Linked DNA regions of Elephas maximus indicus. The protein of the gene in region 2 purifies or fractionates together with the protein of the main gene of each other region. This does not show direct contact. Links are inferred from orthologs where the notes say so. Each region holds a gene or a part of one and is shown on either strand. Other genes may lie near its edges.

Evidence for each region. The genes of interacting proteins can lie anywhere in the genome.
Region 1: the proteins of MAPK14 (region 2) and CCDC8 purify together in Homo sapiens (affinity purification with mass spectrometry; 3 studies listed by BioGRID and IntAct, counting the BioPlex papers as one, with this or other methods). This does not show direct contact. The link is inferred for Elephas maximus indicus from reciprocal best matches to the Homo sapiens genes MAPK14 and CCDC8.

Annotation. Positions count from the first base shown.
Region 1 is NC_064829.1:103,274,297-103,285,206, reverse strand, and holds CCDC8 (coiled-coil domain-containing protein 8), read right to left. Parts: upstream 4,965-10,910; 5' UTR 4,257-4,964; coding exon 2,781-4,256; 3' UTR 597-2,780; downstream 1-596. UniProt on the Homo sapiens protein: Core component of the 3M complex, a complex required to regulate microtubule dynamics and genome integrity. It is unclear how the 3M complex regulates microtubules, it could act by controlling the level of a microtubule stabilizer.
Region 2 is NC_064819.1:99,702,037-99,712,692, reverse strand, and holds the start of MAPK14 (mitogen-activated protein kinase 14), read right to left. Parts: upstream 3,872-10,656; 5' UTR 3,453-3,871; coding exon 3,337-3,452; intron 1-3,336. Other genes in the region: SLC26A8 (testis anion transporter 1), read left to right, coding at 4,691-4,925. UniProt on the Homo sapiens protein: Serine/threonine kinase which acts as an essential component of the MAP kinase signal transduction pathway.

The DNA of each region.
Region 1 (10,910 bases), on a different chromosome or scaffold from region 2:
GGGGCCTCGCTGGATGCTGCTGGGGGTGGGAAGACTGCCTATGGTTATGTCCACTCCAAAGTGGGACAAACTGAGATTCAGTTTGGGGAAAGTCTCAGGGCTATTCACAAGGGGTGAGTGTGCTTATGTGGCCGACAGTGTCTAGCAGTGTGTGTGTACGTGTCCTGTGAGTGGATATCCTGTTGCCGTCTAGTAGATCCTGACTCATAGCGACCCTGTAGGAGAGTAAAACTGCCCCATAGGGTTTCCATGGCTGTAATCTTTATGGAAGCAGGCTGCCACATCTTTCTCCAGAGCAGCAGCTGGTGGGTTCTAACCTGACCTTTTGGTTAGAGTACTTAACTCTTGCGCTACCTGGGCTCCTTGTGAGTGGGTATAAATGTTGGAATGTGTAAGTACAGGGGTGTCTGAATGGGCGAGACTGTGATGTGTGGGTATGGAAGTTTGCCATGCGGAGGTAAAAGCTAGCCTGAGTATGTGTGCCTGTGGAAGTGAGCATTACACGTGTGTCCATGTATTTGTGTGTGTGGGGCAACATAATATGCCCATGCTTATGAGTATGTCTGCCAGTGTGCGCCAAATAAGGGGGATGCCTGTATCTGTGTGTGTGTGTGTGCTGTGGCTGCATTTGTGTGCCTGTATCTGGGCTTGCTTGTGTGTCTGTATGTGCATGTAAGCACATGCTTGTGTTGGGTCATGCTTCTATGTTGTGTGCATGTGCGTGTGTGTTGCAGTGAGGAAGTGTGAGCTGGACCCTCGTAGGGCACTGTCCCAGGCTTGTCATGGGCAGCTGACGTTCGTGACATCCACGCAGCTTCATGCTAATCTGTCTTGCCCCCATTGTTTGGGGTCCACACTCCTCTCCCTCCCCAGGCCCCCATGAGTCATCCTGGGAAGGGCAGAGACGCTCAGTCAGCTGGCTTCTAGCAGACTTTATTGAACAAAAAAGGCACAGTATCATTCCTCATCAAGCCCTGCCTCTTCTCCCATCTCTCAGTCTCTCCCGTGGTCTCTGCTGCTCCCATCTCCTCTCACCTTCCAGGTCTGCAGAGACCAGGCCCCCTTGGTTCCACCGTTTTCCAAGGTGGGCACGGAGAAGGACAGCCTCCCCCTTCCTAACCTCCTCAGTGGCTTCAGAGCTATCTCCCCACCTGGCTTGGCTGCACCTGCGTCCTCCCCACCCCATGCCTCCGCTCAGTCCACCTCTCTAGGTGGGGCCCATGCCTCGCCCCTTCTTGCAAAGCCCACTGGCCTCTTTTGCTGCCTGGTTGCCAGCTGTGGGCCACACAGGCCCAGGGTCCACCACCAAGCACAAAGCAGCTCTAGACAGCAACACACCATGTCAGGCAGTGAGCCACATCATCAGTAGCCATTTCTTTTTAGAAAACAGACAGGGAAAAAGAAAAAGGGGGAAAAAACCCAACCAAACAGTTGCCGTTGAATTGACTCCAACTCCTGGCAACCCTATGTGTGCCAGGGCATTCAGTGGCTGATTTTGCGGAAGCAGACTCCCAGGCCTGTCTTCCGAGGCACCTCTGGGTGGGTTTGAATCGCCAACATTTTGGTTAGTAGTCGAGTGTTTAACCCTTTGCGCCACCCAGGGTCTCCTGGAAATAAAGAAAGGGATATAATTCTTTTAGGTATCAAGGGGGAAAAAAAATCCAGGCAAGGCCTGCAGCCACAATCAGGAGGGCAGAGCTGGCCTTCTGCTTCCCTCCTCCACCTTCTTTTCCCCAGTGAGGCTCTTTTGTGGCCATTTGCTCTTTTTCGCTGGTTGAGCAGGGTGGGCATAAGGTCATACAGAGATCCCTCCCAGCCTCACGGGGCCTCACCTCCCCAATTTCTCCCTGATGGTAAGTATCAGTCATAGCACATGACATCATACCCCCATTATCAACGTCAGCATGCCACCCCATGCCCCAATTTTGGGCCTGTTCTTATGGCAATGTCTCTTCCACACGGCCAGTGAATGGCAAGTGTGCGAGCTGCCCTGGGTAAAGCCCATAAGAGCTGGATCAAAATAGATTCCTGGGCCACACTAGCAAATTCATATCTGTGGTGTGAAGGGTTCAGGAATGTGCATTTTGAACACATTCCCCAGGTGATTTGTATGCACACTTATGGCCCCCAACCTCACAGCCAAGGACAGGTTGAAGGGCATAAACCATGGGCCCTGCACCCTTCAAACCAGCAGAGCCCAGGGGACCAAAGTAACCATGGTCATTACCATTGAGGATGGGAGTGGGGGGGACAGTGAGGGCACATGACCAAATAGCCCTCGAGCATTCTTCAGTTGTCAAGTCCAAAGCCAAAATCTAAGTTTTTTTTTTTTTAATGTTTTCACTTGCAGGTCAGCTTGAGCCCTCTTTTGAAGTTCAAAGAGACAGCAAATGTCAATCACCCAGCGAAAGGGGAGAAGCCATGAATTTTGCCCCGTCTCGCTCCCCTTTTTAAAATGAGCACCTAGGGAATTAAAAGTACCTGGCTGCAACCCCGCTGTATCGATTTTTCTCATTACATTCCTTGAGTTGCTATAAGGAGTGGGTATAAAAAAATTAATACACGAGAGAGAAAATTTTAACAGAAAAAGGAAGAAGGTTGTCAGGTGGAAATATGGAGGCGTTGTCTCGCCCCCTCTCTCTCTGTCCCTTGGATTTTCAGGTGCAGAAGCAGAGAGTGAAACCATCTCAGTCCAGGTCTGGGAGGGGTAAGGACATGCCCAAGTGGCTGATAATGCAGAATGTGGCAAGGGGTGCTCCACAGGGCCCCCGCCCTCGCCCTCACAGCTGGTCTTCTTGATCTCCCTGCTCCGCTTCTGCTCTGCCCTCGGCCCTCAGCATTCTGAGGCTCCTGGCCTCGCCTGCCCTGGGGACTCTCTTGGGGAGGGTTGGCAGCCTGGGTGTGTGCCAGAAGGCTCTCCGTGACTTGCGAAACCATGAAAAACGTCCAGGGGTCTGGAACCTCACTGTCTTGACCTGTTTCCGGGCTCTGGCTCCTGGGGTTGCCCCTGGGGCCCCCTGGATATCTGGGGCCTCCGCCGCCTGGTCAGCTGCAGCCTCTGCAACCTGGTCAGCTGCAACCTCTGCCACCTGGTCAGCTGCGGCCTCTGCCCTCTGGTCAGGTGCGACCTCTGCCCTCTGGTCAGCTGCAGCCTCTGCCACCTGGTCAGCTTCAACCTCTGCCCTCTGGTCACCCAGGACCCCTGCCCCCTGGTCACCTGGGACCTCTGCCCCCTGGTCACCTGGGACCTCTGCCCCCTGGTCACCTGGGACCTCTGCCCCCTGGCCAACTGGGATCTCTACCCTCTGGTCAGCTATGGCCTCTGCCACCTGGTCAGCTGGGACCTCTGCTCTCCGGTCAACTGGGACCTCTATCCTCTGGTCACCCAGCACCTCTGCCCCCTGAGCTATGGATGCTACCTCCTCCCTCCGGCGTCGCCTCAACGAACCCCAGCTGATCTTGGGCCGCCACCGTCGTGGGAGGGTCCCGGCTTGCCGCCCATCTCCTGTGTTTCCCGCGTTCTCCCCCCGGCTGGCGCAGCCTGGCCCTGACGCCCTGTCACTCTCCATCCTGGACACGGGCTGCTGGGTATCGCCCACGCCCGGCAAAGACCTGGGCGCCCAGCTCTTCACTCTGCGCTTCAGCTTCCCCCAGGACACCTGGCTGGCATACTCGCGCCACCTGTCGGCCTTGGAGAGCTGGGGCGGGTCGTCCTCGGCCACTGGCACGGGCAGCGCCACCCGGCGGCGGGCAGGGGCCGCGCTAGGTTTCTTCTCCCCGCGCCGCAGGAAGGCCTCCACCAGCTCCTCGTCGTCCCCGCTCTCCTGGTCGCTTCCCAGGAACTTGCTGCCCAGGTAACTGACCGGCATTTTTCGAACCCTCCGGGCCCGGCCCGAGCCGTGGCCGCCCTTGTCCCTGGAGGTCTCAAAGTCGCTGAATTCGCTGTCACTGGCGTTGCTGCTGTCATACGTGCCAACGACCAGACGGGGCGGAGGCGTCACCATCTGCTGAATTCTCCTCCGCACTCGGGGCTCCTTGGGCTTTTTGAGGGGCTGGGGCGGGTGCGGGGTGCTCTTCTCGATGATGCGGGCCACATCCTCCAGGGTGCGGCCCTCTTCCTCCAGGAACTGGGTCAGCCGCTCACGAAATTCCGCCTCCTTGGTGGCGGGCTTGGAGATGACCCTCCAGACACCGCCCGCCAGCCGGACCTCCCGGGGGATGAGCAGATAGTCGACATCCTCCCCAATCTGCAGCATCCCCACCGTAGAGTCTTCCTCCCTGCGGAATACCTTGCCGATCTTCTTAAAGGTCCCCACGGGCTTCAAGGCTTCCACGAGGACATCCAAGTCCACATCCTTGCAGACGTCGGGGACGCTCCATAGGATTAGGCAGTCCGGCGACGGCAGGAAGCCCCAGGGGAACCAGCCCCCCACGTGGCTTTTCTCGAGGGTCTTTAAGATCTCCAGGGTGAAATCCGGAATGTGGGGCTAAGGACCCCAACGTCACGCAGTCTGTAGCCTTAGGTGGGGAGTCCCAACAATGCTGCCCGGAAGGTCTCACCTCCCCAGCCAGGGACGAGCCACCTCCTCCCACTTTGTCTGCCACCAGGCCGGCCTTGGCCAAGTCTGCTCCCCCCAAAAAAGGCTGGTGGAAATGAAGTCCCACGACGCTTACGTGAGCTGGCGAGGAATCTGTCCCGAGGCTTCAAGCCCGCGCAAAGCTGGAAAGCTGCTCCAAGTTGGAGTGCACGGTGGTTCGTCTTGCCCCAGGCACCAAAGGGGCGGCTGGAACTTGCGAGACCGCTTCCCAGACAAAGACGGCTCAGCCGGGGCTATTCAATATGGCCGAGGCGCTGGGAGACTGCGGCCCGGCCCCCCCGGAGGGTCTCCCGCCCCCAGGCAGGCTGCCACCCCTCCAAGACTGACCTTGACGCGGCGCGCGCCCAGTGCGGTGGAGCGCACAGGCAGGAAGTTCCTCCTCGCGCTCCCCGGGGTGAGGCCCACCTTCTCCCTTCTCAGTTTACACTCCCCGACTCGGGAAGACTGACAGGGGGGCTGTCCACTCCCTTTAAGGAGGCCTCTCTCCCCTCCCCCACAGGGGTGTGGCCGCGCCCCAGGCCTAGTTGGGGCCACCCGCCTCCAAGTGAAAAGAGCGCGGAGGCCCACGTCAGCACCTTTCCCGAATGGCAGCCAGTTCCCAAACCTGCCATCGTAGATATACCCGTTCTGGCCAAGTCCCCCACCCTCAGCCCCCTAGGTGGGTGTGCTAATGGGACAGCCCTTTTGAAGGTCACTGACGCTATGTATTAACATTTTAAATGCACGCGACTCGTGGTACCAGCAATTCCTACCCCATACCCATTCATGCATGTGGGTAAAAAAACTGGTGGTTGTCGTTTAGCTGCCCTAGAATGGGCCAGATTCGTGGCGACCTCATTCACAAATGAAATGCTCCCTGGTCTGCACCATCCCCGTGATGGACTGCAGATCAGACTGCTGTGGTCCGCAGGGTTTTCGTTGGCTGATTTTCAGAAGAAGATGGACCGGCCTTTCTTCCTAGTCCGTTGTAGTCTGAATGCTTAAACCTGATCAGCATCATAGCGACATGCAAGTCTCCACTGACAGATGGGTGGTGGTGGTATTGCTGGTTATCATTGAGTCGGTTCTGACTCATGGCAAACCCATGTGTGCAGAGTAGAACTGTGCTCCATAGGATTTTCAAGGCTGTGGCCTTTTGGAAGCAGACCTCCAGGCTTGTCTTGCCTCTGGGTGGGTTTGAACCACCAACCTTTAGGTTAACAGTCCAGCACAAACCATTTGTGCCACCCAGGGACCATTTTTCCTATATACTATTGTTGTTAGGTGCCTTTGAGTTGGTTCCGACTCATATAGACTTTATATATAACGGAATGAAACCGTGCCAGGTTCTACTCCATCCTCACAATCATTGCTGTGTTTGAGACCTACATACTATATACAGTGAAACCTATGAGAGCTGAAACTTGACGAGACTGCCTTGTTTTTCTGTTTTGTTTTTTTTTTTATCTCTGGTTTTCCTTCTCTGACAGGTTTCCACCTTACCCAGGTGCCAGCTTTTACAAGTTTTACTTTACTATATACTAGGCACCATTTTGTGGGAGAAAGATGTGGCAGTCTGCTTGCATAAAGGTTTACAGCCTGGGAAACCCTATGAGGCAGTTCTACTCTGTCCTATAGGGTCACTGTGAGTCGGAATCGACTCGATGGCAGTGGGTTTGGTTTGGTTTTTTAGATCCCACTTTAAGTGCTTTCTGTGAATTAATTCATTAGATCCTCACTGTAACAACGAGACAGGTAATACAATTATCATTCCCATTTTACAGCTAAGGAAACTGAGGCCCAAAGAAGTAAAATCACCTTTTTGAGGTTACACAAACAGGAAGTGACTGAGGCTAGATTTGAACCCAAAACAGTCTGACTCTGTGTGTGTAGAACAAATAGTCGAGACATGCACTTGTGCTAGTCACAGGTATAAAACTAAAAAACCAAACCCATTGCCATCAAGTCGATTCTGACTCATAGGGACCCTATAAGACAGTAGAACTGCCCCCATAGGGTTTCGAACGAGGGGCTGGTGAATTTGAACTGCAGACCTTTTAGTTAGCAGCCGTAGCACTTAACCACTGCACCACCAGGGAGCACAGCCTAAAGTGGCTGTTACCGGGGAGAGGGCCTGGGAGCCCCTGAGGTGGGAGAGGCATGTACCCTTCACTCGACACCCTTTAGGATTGCTTGGATTTTTGGCAACCAAGAATATTAACTAAAAGAAATGAGATAAAAGTGAAGGTTCTCAGGCTTCACCACAGACATAGTGGGTCAGGATCCCTGGGGCTTAGGGTCAGAAAAAGGCTACCGGCTCAGCAACAAAAGCCCAACAACATCATTAGGAAGATAATAACAGTTAACTTGCATTGGCATTGAGCATTTCCCTGGGTCCAGGCATCATGAATGGGCTGAATGGACCTATTGTGAATCCTTAGAGCTACACAGCAAGGTGGGTGCCCTCACTAGCATCTTCTGGTTGATGGGGAAACTAACTGGAGGGCCTGATATTTGAACCAGATCTTAGGTACTTGAGTAATAGACCCAGGCAGGCTCTATAGAAAACAGGGGTCAGGAGTCAGGACATAGCTGAATCCCTCCTCCCCAATTAAAGTGCTGGGTGGTTTAACCCAAGAGTCACCGCATGTTAAAAAAAAAAAAGCATGTTAGCTACCCTTTTTTCTTGTTGAATCCCTGCAAGTGCCTCCTCACTGCCTCCCAGCTTTCTCCTTGCTGCCTACAATCCACCCTCAATTCAGCAGTGTTGTTGTTGCTAGTCGCCAACTAGTTGATTTCAACTCATGGCTACGCCATGTGTGCAGGATAGAACTAACTGCTCCATAGGGTTTTCAAGGCTGTGACCTTTCGGAAGATCACCCAGCCTGTCCCCTGAGGGGTGACAGGGTGGTTTCAAACCGCCAACTTTTTTGGCTAGTAGTTGAGTGTTTAACTGTTTGCGCCACTCAGGGACTCTCCAGCAGCTGGTTGTTGTTAGGTGCCATGGAGTCGTTCCGAATCATAGCGACCCTACGTACAACAGAATGAAACACTGCCCAGTCCTGCACCATCCTCACAATTGTTGCTATGTTTGAGCCCGTTGTTGTAGCCACTGCATCAATCTGTCCCCTCGAGGGTCTTTGTCTTTTTCACTGACCCTCTACCAAGCATGATGTTCCTCTCCAGGGACTCGTGCCTCCTGATAACATGTCCAAAGTACGTGAGATGAAGTCTTGCCATCCTTGCTTCTAAGAAGCATTCTGGCTGTACTTCTTCCGAGACAGGTTTGTTCATTCTTCTGGCAACCAACCAACCCAACCCATTGCCGCTAAGTCGAATCCGACTCACAGTGACCCTATAGGACAGAGTAGAACTCCCCCGTAGGATTTCCAAGGAGCTCCTGGTGGATTGGAACTGCCAACCTCATGGTTAATTCTTCTGGCCAGACCCAGTGCCATGGAGTCAATTCCGACTCATAGCGACCCTATAGGACAGGGTAGAACTGCCCCATAGAGTTTCCAAGGAGCGCCTGGTGGATTCGAACTGCCGACCCTTTGGTTAGCAGCTGTAGCTCTTAAGCACTACGCCACCAGGGTTTCCTATTCTGGCAGTCCATGGTATATTCAATATTCTTCATCAACACCGTAATTGGAAGGTGTCAATTCTTTGGTCTTCCTTATGCATTGCCCAGCTTTCGCATGCGTATGAAGTGACTGAAAATACCGTGGCTTAGGTCAGGCACCTTGGTGGCATAGTGGTTAAAGTGATCAACTGCTAAGTGAAAGGCCAGCAGTTTCAAACCACCAGAGGTTCCAAGGGAGAAAGATGTGGCAGTCTGCTTCCATAGAGATTTACAGCCTTGGAAAACCTATGGGGTTGTTATGAGTCAGAATCGACTCGATGGCAGTGGGTTTGGTTTTTTGGTGGGTCAGGTGCACCTTAGAGCAATACGTGGTTTGATTTCTTGACTGCTGTTTCCATAGGCATTGATTGTGGAGCCGGGTAAAATGAAATCCTTGCCAACTTCAATATTTTCTCCATTTGTCTGCAGCTGGAGGGATCTTTCAAAAAATAACTCGGCACTGTCTCTATCTTTTTAAAATCCTCCATTTCACTCAGAATAGAACCCAAGTCCTCACCATGGCCCACAAAGCCCTACAAATCCCTCACACTCCTTCCTTCTCTGTCCTCCTCTCCTCCCCTCTTCCCCTCTCTCACTCCATTCCAGCCCAACCAGTCTGTTCCTGCTGCAGGGCCTTGGTACTTGCTGTCCCCTGACCTTCTCTTGTCAACCTCTCTCTCCTTATTCAGGCCTCTGCTCAAAGGTCACCTCTCTGAGAGGCCCTTCTGAATCCTTCCCATTTTACAGGAGTGACCCTCCCATCCCAGGAATTCTTAACCTTCTCAGTGCCACGGACCCATTGAAGCACAGACTGTTCCCTACAGTTATGAAAATATTCAAGAAATAACAAATTCATGAAATGGTGCTTGTTATTACCACATCACATAAAGATTTAGCAGCAAGTCTAGGTTTTGAGGAAGTGCTTCGAGGTTTCGCAGCAACTAAAAGAGCCACACGAAGACAGCTGTGATTTCCAGCAGTGACAAAGTTGCAGGCTCTTCTAACCCTACTGGGGCTCGTTGCTTATGTTCATAATGGAAGGCAATGGTCTGTCTCAAAGGTCTGTGAATATAAAGCCGTGATTTTATTTTTCCCATTCAGATTCACAGACCCAAGAGGTCCAGGCACTCCAAGTGAAGACCCCCTCCTACATCCTATTCTCCTACTTTATTTCCTAGCACAACACAGTCAGAAATGATTTTCTTTATTTTTGCTTTACTTTTGTGTCTGACTCTCTCCCACCACACGCTAGAATGCAAACTCATTTGTTCTCTACTGTATGTATCTCCAGTACCTAGAACAGGGCTTGGCCTGTAGCAACCCAGCTACCACTGAGTTGATTCCTGGAGACCCCGTGTGCGTCAGAGTAGAACTGTGCTCCATAGGCTTCCCAATGGCTGATTTTTCAAGAGTACATTGCCAGGCCTTTCTTCTGAGGTGTCTCTGCGTGGATTGGAGCCTCTGACACTTCAGTTAGCAGCCAAGTGCTGAACTCCTTGCACCACCCAGGAGCTCTGGGTATATAGTACCAAAACAAACAAACAAAAAAACCCCAAACCCAGTGCCCTCGAGTTGATTCCGACTCATAGCGGATGTGTATGTAGTAAAAAAAAAAAAAAAACCCAAAATTCGTTGCCATAGGGTTTCCAAGGAACGGCTGGTGGAGTCAAACTAATGACGTTTTGACTAGCAGCTGAGCTCTTAACCACTGGGCTACCAGGGGTACGTAGTAGGTGCGCAATTAAAAAATTGCTAGATGAGAGAAGGAAGGAAGGAAGGAAGGAATGCAGGGAGGAAGGAAAGGAGGGGAAAGAAAGGAAAAGAAGAACGGAGGAAGAGGGTAGGGAGGGAAGGAAGGGAGGAAGGAAAGAAAGAATTTGAGAGAAAGAGGGAAGTGAGGGAGGGAGGGAAGAAACAAAGAAGCTTGGGGTGGGAGGCGGTTAAGGTCTCATCGAAGCCTTTGCACAATCATTGGCTCGTTCGGGTTGTTTTTGCTTTTTTGCCCAGCCGGCTGTACCGGGTCATGAAGTTTCACTGGGTTTTCTCCTCCTCGCTCAGCTCCGCGGGGGCCCGGGCCCCCAGGCCTTTGGCTCCGGTAGCTTCCACGCCTCCGCAGCTGGGCGGTCTCCATGGCAACGTGGGGACGCGCCTTGTTGCCCAGCAGGCTCTGAGTGGGCGGGGCAGAGGCACAGGGTGGAGGGAGAAAGGGGGGTGCGTTCCGCGGAGTGTGGGAGCAGGGCAGTACCTCTTCACGGATCCCCCCCAAACCAGCTTCGCTGAAAGGCTGCCTTGCAGAAATGAGTCCTTTGGGTTTTCTAACGGGTAAGAGATTAAAAGGAGCCCTGGTGACGCAGTGGTTAAGCATTTGGCTGCTAACCAAGAGGTCGGCAGTTAGAATCCACCAAGCGTTCCTTGGAAACCCAATGGGGCAGTTCTAGTCTGTCCTGTGGGGTCGCTGAGTCAGAATGAACTGGAGGGCAATGCGTTAAGAGACTTAAAAAAAATTTTTTTTTTTTTTTTTGGTGGGGAGCGGGGAGGATTATCATAGAGATGAAAACCCCAAATGTTCACAGTTCTTATAAAAATTGCCAGCCCTCAAGCAGTTCTGGTGTGGGCGTTTTAAATTGCCCTGATTTCTGGTGGCTAGACCCTTTCCAGCCTCTCCAGAAACAGCGATAATTATAGCTCCTGTTTTTGTATTTGTTTAAAAG
Region 2 (10,656 bases):
AAGATTCTCCCCTTCAGTCCCAAAACCACAAAATCAATGCTTTGCAACAACGTATTCTTAAACAATTTTGCTTCATTTCCCCTCACAGACAATGCACAAAGTTCCTTAAAACTGCAAAGCTTAGTTTAGTTCCCTTTCATCTTTAACAAGGAAAGACAATTTGTCAAACCCTATCAAGTTTTTGAAGCCTGATTCCTTAATCTTTGATTCATTTTCGGCTACCACACAGGCTGCTATTTGCATTACATTCTACAAATGAAAATAATGAAAACACACTTAAAAGAGGAAAAAATTTACACATCAAAGTGAACACACTTCTTCAGAGTAATCAAATTAGGAAACTGAATACATTTTTCAATGATGCTGCATTCCTTTAAATACTTGTAGAGATTCTTTTTGGGAATAAGACTTCAGGTTCAGTCCTACAAGCCACACTAGAAATTGTCATTACTTTATCATTGTGATTCCTTTTTGACCTAAAATCACCAACCTGACTTTCCTAATCCTTTTCACCAGACCTGGATCTAAATTTATGAATCGTTTGGATTCAATTTCACTTTTAGCTATTCTCTAGTCAAATCTGCTCTCAAAGAATGAAGATGAAAAAAGTTACACAAGCACCAAAGTAAGTTCTAAGAAACACATTTTCTGTCCCACCTGAGGAAATCTTGGTAGCACAGTGGTTAAGTGCTATGGCTGCTGACCAAAGGGTCAGCAGTTCAAATCCACCAGATGCTCCTTGGAAACTCTATAGGGCAGTTCTGCTCTGTCCTATAGGGTCTCTACGAGTCGGAATTGACTCAACAGCAATGGATTATTTTTTCGGGTCACACCTGAAAAGTTGATAATTGAAAGAACAACTTCAAATAGCTACTCTGAGATGATACTTATTTGCAAATCTAAGTTCTGGTATTTTCATTACACAAGCAGTGATACTTGTTTTATAGTCAATTTTTATGCAATTTCACTTGTATTTTCTTCCACCAAAACTCTATAGGTTGCATCTTCTCTCTCTCACACACACACCTTCCAGTAGACTCCGACACACGGCAATCCCACGCACGTCAGAGTAGAACTGTACTCCACAGGGTTTAAATGGCTGACTTTCTCCTACGTAGGTCACCCGGCCTTTCTTCCAACGCACCTCTGAGTAGACTCGAACTTCCAGCTTTTCAGTTAGCAGCCAAGTACATTACCCATTTTTACCACCGAGGGATTCCATCTGTATCTTAAATCCGCCTAGAAATATTTACTAGAAATGCTACTTTAAAAAAAGACAAAGAAAAAAAACCTCTGCCTTCCTGAAAAGACACACAAGAAACTTAACAGTGGTTGTTTCCGCAGAAGGGAAGAGGGCAGCTGGGGAACAAAAAAGAAAGGGAGGGAGACTTTTCACTGAATACTCTTTTATATATTTTGAATTTTATAAAATATGAATGTATTACCTATTTTTAAAAATCTATTCAACAAAATTACTTCCAAATGTCAGATACTGCTGGCTTCTATAAGCCAGAAGAGTACTAAAGAAATATGAAGTTCATTTTAGCGACACTTTATTAGAAATCTGATGTGTGGTCTAGTGCTGAGCTATTCATACTTACAGGGAAACCCTGCGAGCAAATTTTTTCAAGTTCACCTAAATTCCCTGTAGCTGAGTTATTTTGCTGTATCACTCCATTAAAGTTTAAACGGAAACACTGGAAACAAAAACCTGATATTGCAAAAATAAATATGTCAATTCAAAAATGAAGGTAAATTAATGAACTGTAAAAGCTGCAATGACTCAAATACATCTTTGAAAAGTTGTAAATCAAGAAATATATATAGTGAATGTAAAAAGCTGCAAATTCCTTTAAAATGAGAGAAAGATGTCAAGCATGGTGCCATCTGCGACATAACGCAAGCAGCTTTAACTAGAAAATGCAATATGATCTGTTGCAGGGCACAATTGCACAATCTTAATTACCCGAAAAGTCTACCAAACAGGAAATTCATGATGTGACTTTAAGGAACACAGGAATTACACTTAAAGATTAACACATTCAAAAAACTGGAATATATTCCTAAGCAAAAACTTATTTTACAGACCCCTTTTCAAATGATGCATGTACACGAAATTACTAAAACCCAGAAACAGTTAATAATTAAGTCTGATATTTAGTTTCAGATCGGGGCGCCCAGATTACAGTACATCTAAAATACAGTACATAAAACTTTGGAAACAAGAGAGAAGTTAGTGAAACATTTCAAGTCCGGAAACTTTATTGTACCCGTTTAATTTAAAACACTTGCGGTGTAAAAAGGCGTCTCTTCCTTCTTTTGCTACATGCTATGAAAACTGTCGTGTACCTCAGGTCACAAATGCAGATAAGTTTCCTGCAAAATCTCTATAAGGGGCTTTAAAAACACAGTATTTGTAGGAACTGTCGCAATTTAAAACTATTTACAGTCCTTCCCAGCACGGTTAACTTTTTGATCTTGAGAGCGTCCAACGGTCCTGAATATCCTTTGCTCCAAATGAGAAAATTGTTTTGTCAAACAATACTTAAATGAGCAGAGGAATGTGACTAATCAGTGAGACGACCGGTTTCTTAAACAGCAGGGTTCTCGCAGGCACTATCGCCGCCACCGCCACCGCCACCACCTCCCCCACCCCCCCGCGAAAAGGAAATACGCTTTCAACCGAATCGGAAACACACCACTCAAACTGGCACGGTGTTCACCGAGATAAAGTCAGTATTTTAAGCTCTATAGGTCGCTGCTAATTCAAAAGGAACCCTTCTCAAAACGGAATTTCAACGCAGCTTTGCAAAAAAAGCCCGGGGAGAGCGCCCTTCCTCGTTGTTCAGATGATCACAGTCTCCCAGTTGGGCTCTGCCTTCTCCCGGCAGCTCCTGGGCTTGTCCGCACAGAGGGCCAGCTCCAGCGCCCCAGGGTGGGCGCACCCCCGGAGGGGGCCCTTCTGTTCGACGCCAGCAGGGACACCCCCTCCCCCCGCAAGCAGAAGGCACCCTCGTCCCTGTCCCCGGAGCAGCAGCCTTCTGAGAAGCCTTCCCTGTCCCTCGCGCAGGGCGCGAGCCAGGGCCGAATTCCAGCACCCCCACCCCCACCCCCACCCAGCCCAGCATGGAACTGCGTCCTGCACACGGCTGACCACCTAGTTGCTGTGCAGATGGGGGTGCCAGGGGTGCAAGACAGAGCTCGAAGGGGCAGCGATGCCGTTCCTCGAGAAAAATTCCTGCCACTTGGCGCATCGCTGAGCCGTGGGGGCAGGCCTGGCCCTTGGGCGTGAGGGGCCACCCCGTCCACCTTAGCCTCAGGCCCTGCGACACTCACCATACCGAGCCATAGGCACCGGAGCCCACCGGGGACAGGTTCTGATAGCGCTCAGGCACCTCCCAGATTGTCTTGTTCAGCTCCTGCCGGTAGAACGTGGGCCTCTCCTGAGACATCTTCCAGCGGCGGCCGCAGGGTGAGGAGGTGGCCCTGCGGGGCCCCTGCCTGCGCCTGCACCCGCTCCCGGACTCTCGCTCCCTGCCGGGCAGGGCCGGGACCCTGCGCTGGTCGCCGGCGCAGGTGCGGCTGCCGCGGCCCCTCGGACTCCCGCGCGCGCGCGCGGCCCCTGTCAGCTGCAGCACCTAGATGCGCCTTAGTGACGGGGACGACCCCGGCTCAGGACAGGGGCGCGCTACCCGGCTCGGGGCTGCGCCCGCCGCGACCCCCCTGCACACTCGCCCAGACCAGGCCGTCTCTGGGCTGCGTCGCCGGACTCCAGCTGCAGCGCCCACGGAGACTCCAGCGGTCGCGGATCCAGAGCCAGTGAGCAGGAGCCTCCCTCTGTACTCTCGCGAGAACAGGTCCCGGGACTCTCCGCGAGCCGAGAGTCACCCAATATGGAACCTGCTCGCGGGAGGGGTTTCGTGATGTGAGAGTACGGGAGGAGGAGCAGTTCTCGCGACAAGAGAGCAACAGCTGGAGGCCAGAAGCAGGAACTTCCAAGGACTGATGTCCTTAAGGGCGCGTAGGCAGACTCGCCAAGGAAGAGACTAGCGGGCAACACATGCCTCGTGCGCCCCACCGTGGTGGGCTGGGGCAACGCCTGGCTCTGGTGCTAGAAAGCGACGATGACAAATGGGGCATCGGGAAAAGGGCCCAAGATCTTTGAACTCAGTATAGGCACCGGCAGCCAAACACCTGCTCAGGGAAATTCTCAATTTCCAAGAAATAACTTGCATATAAAAAGAAAAAGGTTCCAGCCAGAAAGCCGCTGCCTTCCCATCTGCTCAGGGACATACGGCTTCTTCTTAGGGATTCTGACGAAGTCTGTCACAAAAGCAAATATTAGCCCTAAAGTGAGATTTTTTCCAGCCAAGCTCTCCTAGTAATTCTCAAACTTTTATGTACAGAAGAATCAACCTGGGAGTTTGTTTTAAAACACAGCTTCCCAGGGCGCGCTGCAGTCTAATTAGATAAGTCCGAGATGGGCACTGCATTTTTAGCATAGATGCCAGGCGGTTCTGATTTAGGGAAATCTTGGCTATCTCCCTTCGAGAGGTTTCCTTACGTCTCTCTTCTGACCTAACCGGTAACCGGAAGACTTGTGAATTGATGCGCAGTGCAGATCACGAGCCCTGGCACCAAGTAGGCCTGCAATCAAAAGTGTAAAACCTCGAAGCCAGTGGGGGCCTGGATGGCACAGGTAAGGAGTTCCCTTGGGCTCCGGACGCGCGGCCCAGCTATCCCGGTCCCCGCTCCCCTACCCCTGCTGCCTATGCCCCCTGCCCGCTCCGAACGCCCGCAAGCTCGGGCGCAACGGCTCGGGAACCGCCGGCGTCTGCGCCCGCATTCGCGTCCCAGCGCTGCCAGCCGGGCCAGAGCCGCGTCCGACCCCACCGTCGTCATTCCCGCCTTCGCCCGGGAACCAGGTGAGCCGCTGCGGGAGTCGCCCAGGAGCCAGGGGCTGTAGGTGGAGAGCGGTGAGGCCGCGGCGGGTCCCCGGCGTGGGAGCCTGGGTGCGAGGGACCGGCCTTTCATTACACATCGAAGTCGCAGGCAGGGGGCTGCTCCTGTCCCCAGCAGGGCTAGGCACATAGCGGGCGCTCAGTCAATATTTGAGGGATGAATGAATGGGGATCCCCTGGGAGCTCAGAGGTCTTGTCTGTGCTTTGAAAGGCCGCGTGGAATGGCTATAACAACAGACAGCGTGTGCATTTTTGCAAGCTGCCTCCTTTCAAAGTCGCTTGCCGGGATTATCAGAAACCCTCGAAGTGGCCCACTGCCCCAGTCTCAGCCGCCACCGCATCCATCTCCTCCTGAGGCTTGACTGCCCAAAACTTACAGCTTTTGTTCATTTTGTTCCTTCTGCCTGAGCCTCCTCCCTCACCTGTCCCTTTCTCTTCCTGTCAAATTCTGTTTATCCTCCAGGATCCTGTGACGTTTCTACAACATCCCACCCCAATAATAAGTGTCTCTCCTCCACACTCCACTGGTTTTGCCCTTAACTACATTGCAGTACAGATAGCTGCAGGTAGTGTCTGATGGTTAAGCTCCTTGAGGGCTGCATCTTTGTCTAAGTCATTTTTATATCTCTGTCACTAGACAGTTATTGAAGAGTGCTAAAAAGATGCCTTTTCTATATCTGAAATTCATTTCCCATTAAAACCTAGGTAGTAACTGGCAAAGGGCTGTTTTAACAAATGCTTATTTTGAAATTTTGGAAGTGAATTTTGCCTTCACATAATTTTAGAGAATATATGAAAGATGACAATAGTGGGGAAAGATATTCTGGCAACTAAACTTAAGTTTCAAGATTTCAATTCTATTGGGTCAATGGTCAGAAAGTCGCACTGTATTTAAACTTTTTATTCTTAATTTTTTAAATAGTCTGAACATAGATTATGTAAATGAATAAATGGATGGATGGATGGATGGATGGATGGATGGGGCAAGTATGGAAGGTGAAGGAGCTGAGTCAAAATGCATGTGTTTTGACAATGCCCCCAAACTTAACACTGGAAGACTAAAGAAGTTGGCTACATTTACAGTGGTCCTCATACTTTACTGTGTATCGGAATCACCTGGAGGGATTCTTAAAGCAGAGTGTTAGGCCTGCCCCCAGAGTTTCTAATTCAGTATGTCTAGGTAGGGCCTGGTGGTGTAAGAGCTACCGCTGCTAACCAAAAGGTCAGCAGTTCGAATCTACCAGCTGCTCCTTGGAAATCCTGTGGGGCAGTTCTACTCTGTCCTGTAGGGGCGCGATGAGTTGGAATCGACTCAATGGCAACTGTTTTGGTTTTTTGTTGTTGTTGTTTAGGTGGGGCCTGAGAATTTGCAGTTCTAATAAGTTCCTAGGCAATGCTGATGCTACTTGTCTGGGGATCAGGTATGGGGTACAGAGATTAAATTAATGTCTCCCTTGTAGTAATCCAAACCAAAAAAGCAAACCCGGTGCCATCGAGTAATCCAGGTACTCAAAATTATGTTACATTTGTAGAGTAAGAAAACGAAAACTTACGTGGTTCAAACACATTGTCTACCAAACTTAAATATTTGCTCTGATGGAAGGAAGCATCAAGGAGTTGTCTTCAAAGTGGACATTTATCTTCAAGGTTATGGGTAAAGGTTAGCATGGTGTTGATTACACTGAGTGCAGTAGCCCCATCAGACTGACACTGTCAAGAGCTGGAAACAGACACTGTCCCTTTTGTGTCTTAGCTGCAAGGTCATCATCCCATCAGTGTAGTTTTGATGATCTTTTCTGAAATTCATCACCTTTTCCACACTAAAGTGCATCTGGCACTTATCAGTAGGAGCTTCTCGTCACACACCTTGTCAGGAAGGGTCCTGCTAAAGCATGAAAACAAGCCATTAGGGGTTCTATGAAATCGAGAGGGAAATAATGGAGCTGGAAAATTCCAGAGAAGACTGCTAAAACAAATAAATAAGGAAATCATGTGCCTTCCTTTAGGCAGCCATTTGATGAGTCCTTTAAAGCCAGCATCAAAGATAGCTTTCCACTTGCCACTCCTCACCATCCTCACTGTGGCCACCAAAGCTTATAATTCAAATACCTCTGCCCTAGACTATTCTAATATCGATTGTTTCTAACCAGTCTCTTGTCGCTAGCACTGTCCAATAGAACTTTCTATGATGATGGAAATGTTTTACATTTGTGCTGTTCGGTAAGGTAGCCACTGGCCACATGTGGCTGTTGAGCCCTTGAAATGTGGCTAGTGCAACTAAGGAACTGATTTTTTATTTTAGCTTAATTAAGTTAAATTTAAATAGCTGCATGTGGCCAGTGGCTACTGTACCGGACAGTACAGCTGTCAATCATACCACCGACAAGATTCCTTTTCCCAAAGTGCATCTCTGTGCATATTACTCTTTCTGCTCAAACAGTTTACATAGCTAAAAAATAAAGACCAGCTTTTTTTACAACTCAGCATTTAAGACCTTCCAGGAATAGGCCTCATTCTACATTTGGGGGGCTTAACACTAATTTTAGGAGCTCCTGGGTGGCACAAACAGTTCAAACCCACCCTGAGGTACCTTAGAAGACAGGCCTAGCATTCTGTTTCCCAAGGGTCACAGCCTTGAAAACTCTCCTCTGCACACATGGGGTTTCCATGAGTCGGCACTGAAGAATGCTATATCCCACTCATTATATAATAAGCCCCACTTATTTTATACCTCCCATGTCTCTTCACGGTGCCAGACTAGGGTCAAACTCAGCAGCATCTTCTTTCCCTGCTGATTCCGCCAAGCCTGTTCCCTTGGCTGTGGTTTTGCTGGATAGTAGGTAGGGACAGTGGGAATCTCTTTCATCCATTCATGCACATCACTAATTAGATGATGAGGCATTTGGCTACCTTCGTTACATGAGTCTGCTCGACAGCAACTAACGACATGAACTTTACGAAGATCTCTTGAATTACTTGCCTTACGTTATCTTTGTACTTCCCTACTACTGTTTCCCTGAAACAGCTTATGTTCCACCCCGCCCCCAGCTTACACTGAGCTCAAATCATGTCTCCTCCAGAAGGCCTTCTCCATCTCTCTAGGCCAGGACTATTAATCTCAATTTTGGAGGAGGTCCCATGGTGGAAGGATGGGGCATCTATTTTGGAATCAGACCAGGTTCAAATTCTGGCTCTGCTATTTAAGTATTGTATGACTCTGAGAAAGTTACTAAACTCATCAGTAAAATGAGTATAGTCACTTTCAGGAGAATAATATCAAGCTCTTTAAGATGATGTACATGAAGAACGTAGTATATGGCCGAGTGGTCATAAATGTTAATTCCTCTCTTCCCCACCTCTAAACTCTTACAGCACTATATTTTGGTACTTTTCTTCTACTGAATTGTAGAATAATTTGTTCTTTTGTATCCCAAGAGCACCTAGCATTCAACAAATGTGTGTTGAGCACTAAATTAACTGACCACAGGTAAAATAGCATTCTTCAGTCTGAAACAAATGAAGGCCAAGAGTGAATATGATGGAAATGTATAAAAAAAATTGTAAAAATAAAAGCAGATCAACTTTGTTTAGGAAGCATTGAGTTTCTGTTTATGGTGATAGAAATTTGGCAATGGATATTGGTGATGGTTGCACAGCATGATTAATGTAATTGATGTCACTAAATTGTACACGTGAAAAACATCTAGTTGGCAAGCGTGTATTATATACTTACAACAATAAAATAAAAAGATATGAATGCTAGTCTAGTAGAGATGGAGGCCACCTCTTGAGACATAAACAATATAAAATAAGGGTAATAAATGAAATACTAATTGCCATCAGTGAACTAATGCAGTATTATAAAATACCTCCAAAGGGTACGGCGGTAGAAAATGTGAATACTGCAGCTTCAAGAGAAAGAGACAATATGGACAAACCAAAATGAAAAACCAAACCCATTGCTAACTCAAAGCCAATGGATTTGGGTTTTGTTTTTGTTTGGTTTCCCAACTCATCGTGACCCTATAGGACAGGGTAGAACTGCCCTATAGGATTTCTAAGGCTGGAGCTTTAAGGAAGCCAGCTGTCACGTCTTTCTCCGGAAGGTGCGGCACACTTTTCGGTTAGTGGCAGGGTGCTTTAACAGCATCACCAGGGCTCCTGATGGACAAGAAGACCCTCATTATCTCCTCAGTTTCTCATTCATCACTGTACCATTCTGTTGGCTTCAAACCAAAGTAACAAATGAAATCGTTAATTAGGACTTCCCTCCCACAAGGCTTTAACCCTTTCATAACCAAATTATTTTTCACTTTAAATTTTTCATTGATAAAATTCTTTTCATTAATGGAATGCATGCTGAATCATTGAGCATGTCCCTGTGGAGTCTGGTGTAGGATTGGTGGGACACGTATGTCTGTACCATCCAGGATGTACCACCTCACACAACACCCTGTAAAAACTAATTTGTGGCACATGCCCGTTTCTTCTGTTTCAAGTCCCCTCTTGACGGCTGCACTGTCAGTGGAAAACCTTCTTCCCAGTAAACCCAAGGGCTACTAAATGTATGTGGGAGCTTTTTGTCCCTCAAGTCCTTAACAGCAAAGCCCGAAGGAAGCAATTTCCTGCCAGAAGCGGCTTCCAAATCCCACAAGGCTGAGGGCACAAAGGCAGCCTAGTAACATGCTTAGTTACAGCCTCCACTTTCTAGGCGTGAGTGCCCAGACGTCCTCCAAATCCCACAGTCCTCTTCTCACGTATTTCTGGTTTGTCTAGTTCAGGTGTTTCCGTTAGTTGTGCAGTTGCCTCCTGTGGACCTAGGTGGGAAAGGAATTTTTTTCTGTTCGTTGAGCTGTTGGCGTTCACTGTTTGGAGTCAGTCAGGCCTTAAGGAGTCACTGCCACTGCCATCGACATGTTGGTCCCAAGTGCACTCGTGAAACAATCGTCTCTTCAGTCTATGGCTGGTGCTGTTCCGGTTCGCAATGAGAAAGGTTGAGATCTCAATGGAATAAGTGAAGGTGAAATGCGGTATGTCGGCCAAGAGGCCAGACTGTGTCCCTATGGGGTCCTAAGGTGAGGAAGATGAAGAATTTCAGCTCATTAAGAAAGCCAATGATCAAGAAGCAGAGCCTGAGGAACAGAGGGAGGATTCATCTAGTTATCCCCATCTGCGGTGTTTGCAGAACCCTATTAGTGAAGATGTGGAAGAGAGATTGGCTTGACATTGGAACGAGAAGATAGCAGTGAAGAAGAGGAGGATGCTGATGAGGAAACGAAACAGCACCATGGGATGATGGGCCAGCGAGCACAGGAGAGATAAAATGAAGAGATGGAAGTCATGGGAGTGGAGGATGAGGGACATTCTGAGGAGGAGTCAGAATCGGAGTCTGAGTATAAAGAGTACTCAGACAGTGAAGATGAGATGAAGCCTTGTCACCTTAAGCCGGCCTTCATCCCAAAGGACTGAGTGACAGCTCAAGAACAGGCAGCTGAAGCACTGAAACAGAAGGAGCTAGAGCAGAAGGCAAAACACTGAGGAGAGGCACAACTACGCACTCAAGACTGTAGAAGGGGAGACCAAGAAGGAGCTAGCAGAGAACATCTGGTCCCTGGCTGCACTGGATTCACACAATACTGATGATGAAAGTGATGAGGTGGAATATAAAGGCATGGAAAGTTCGGGAGCTAAAGAG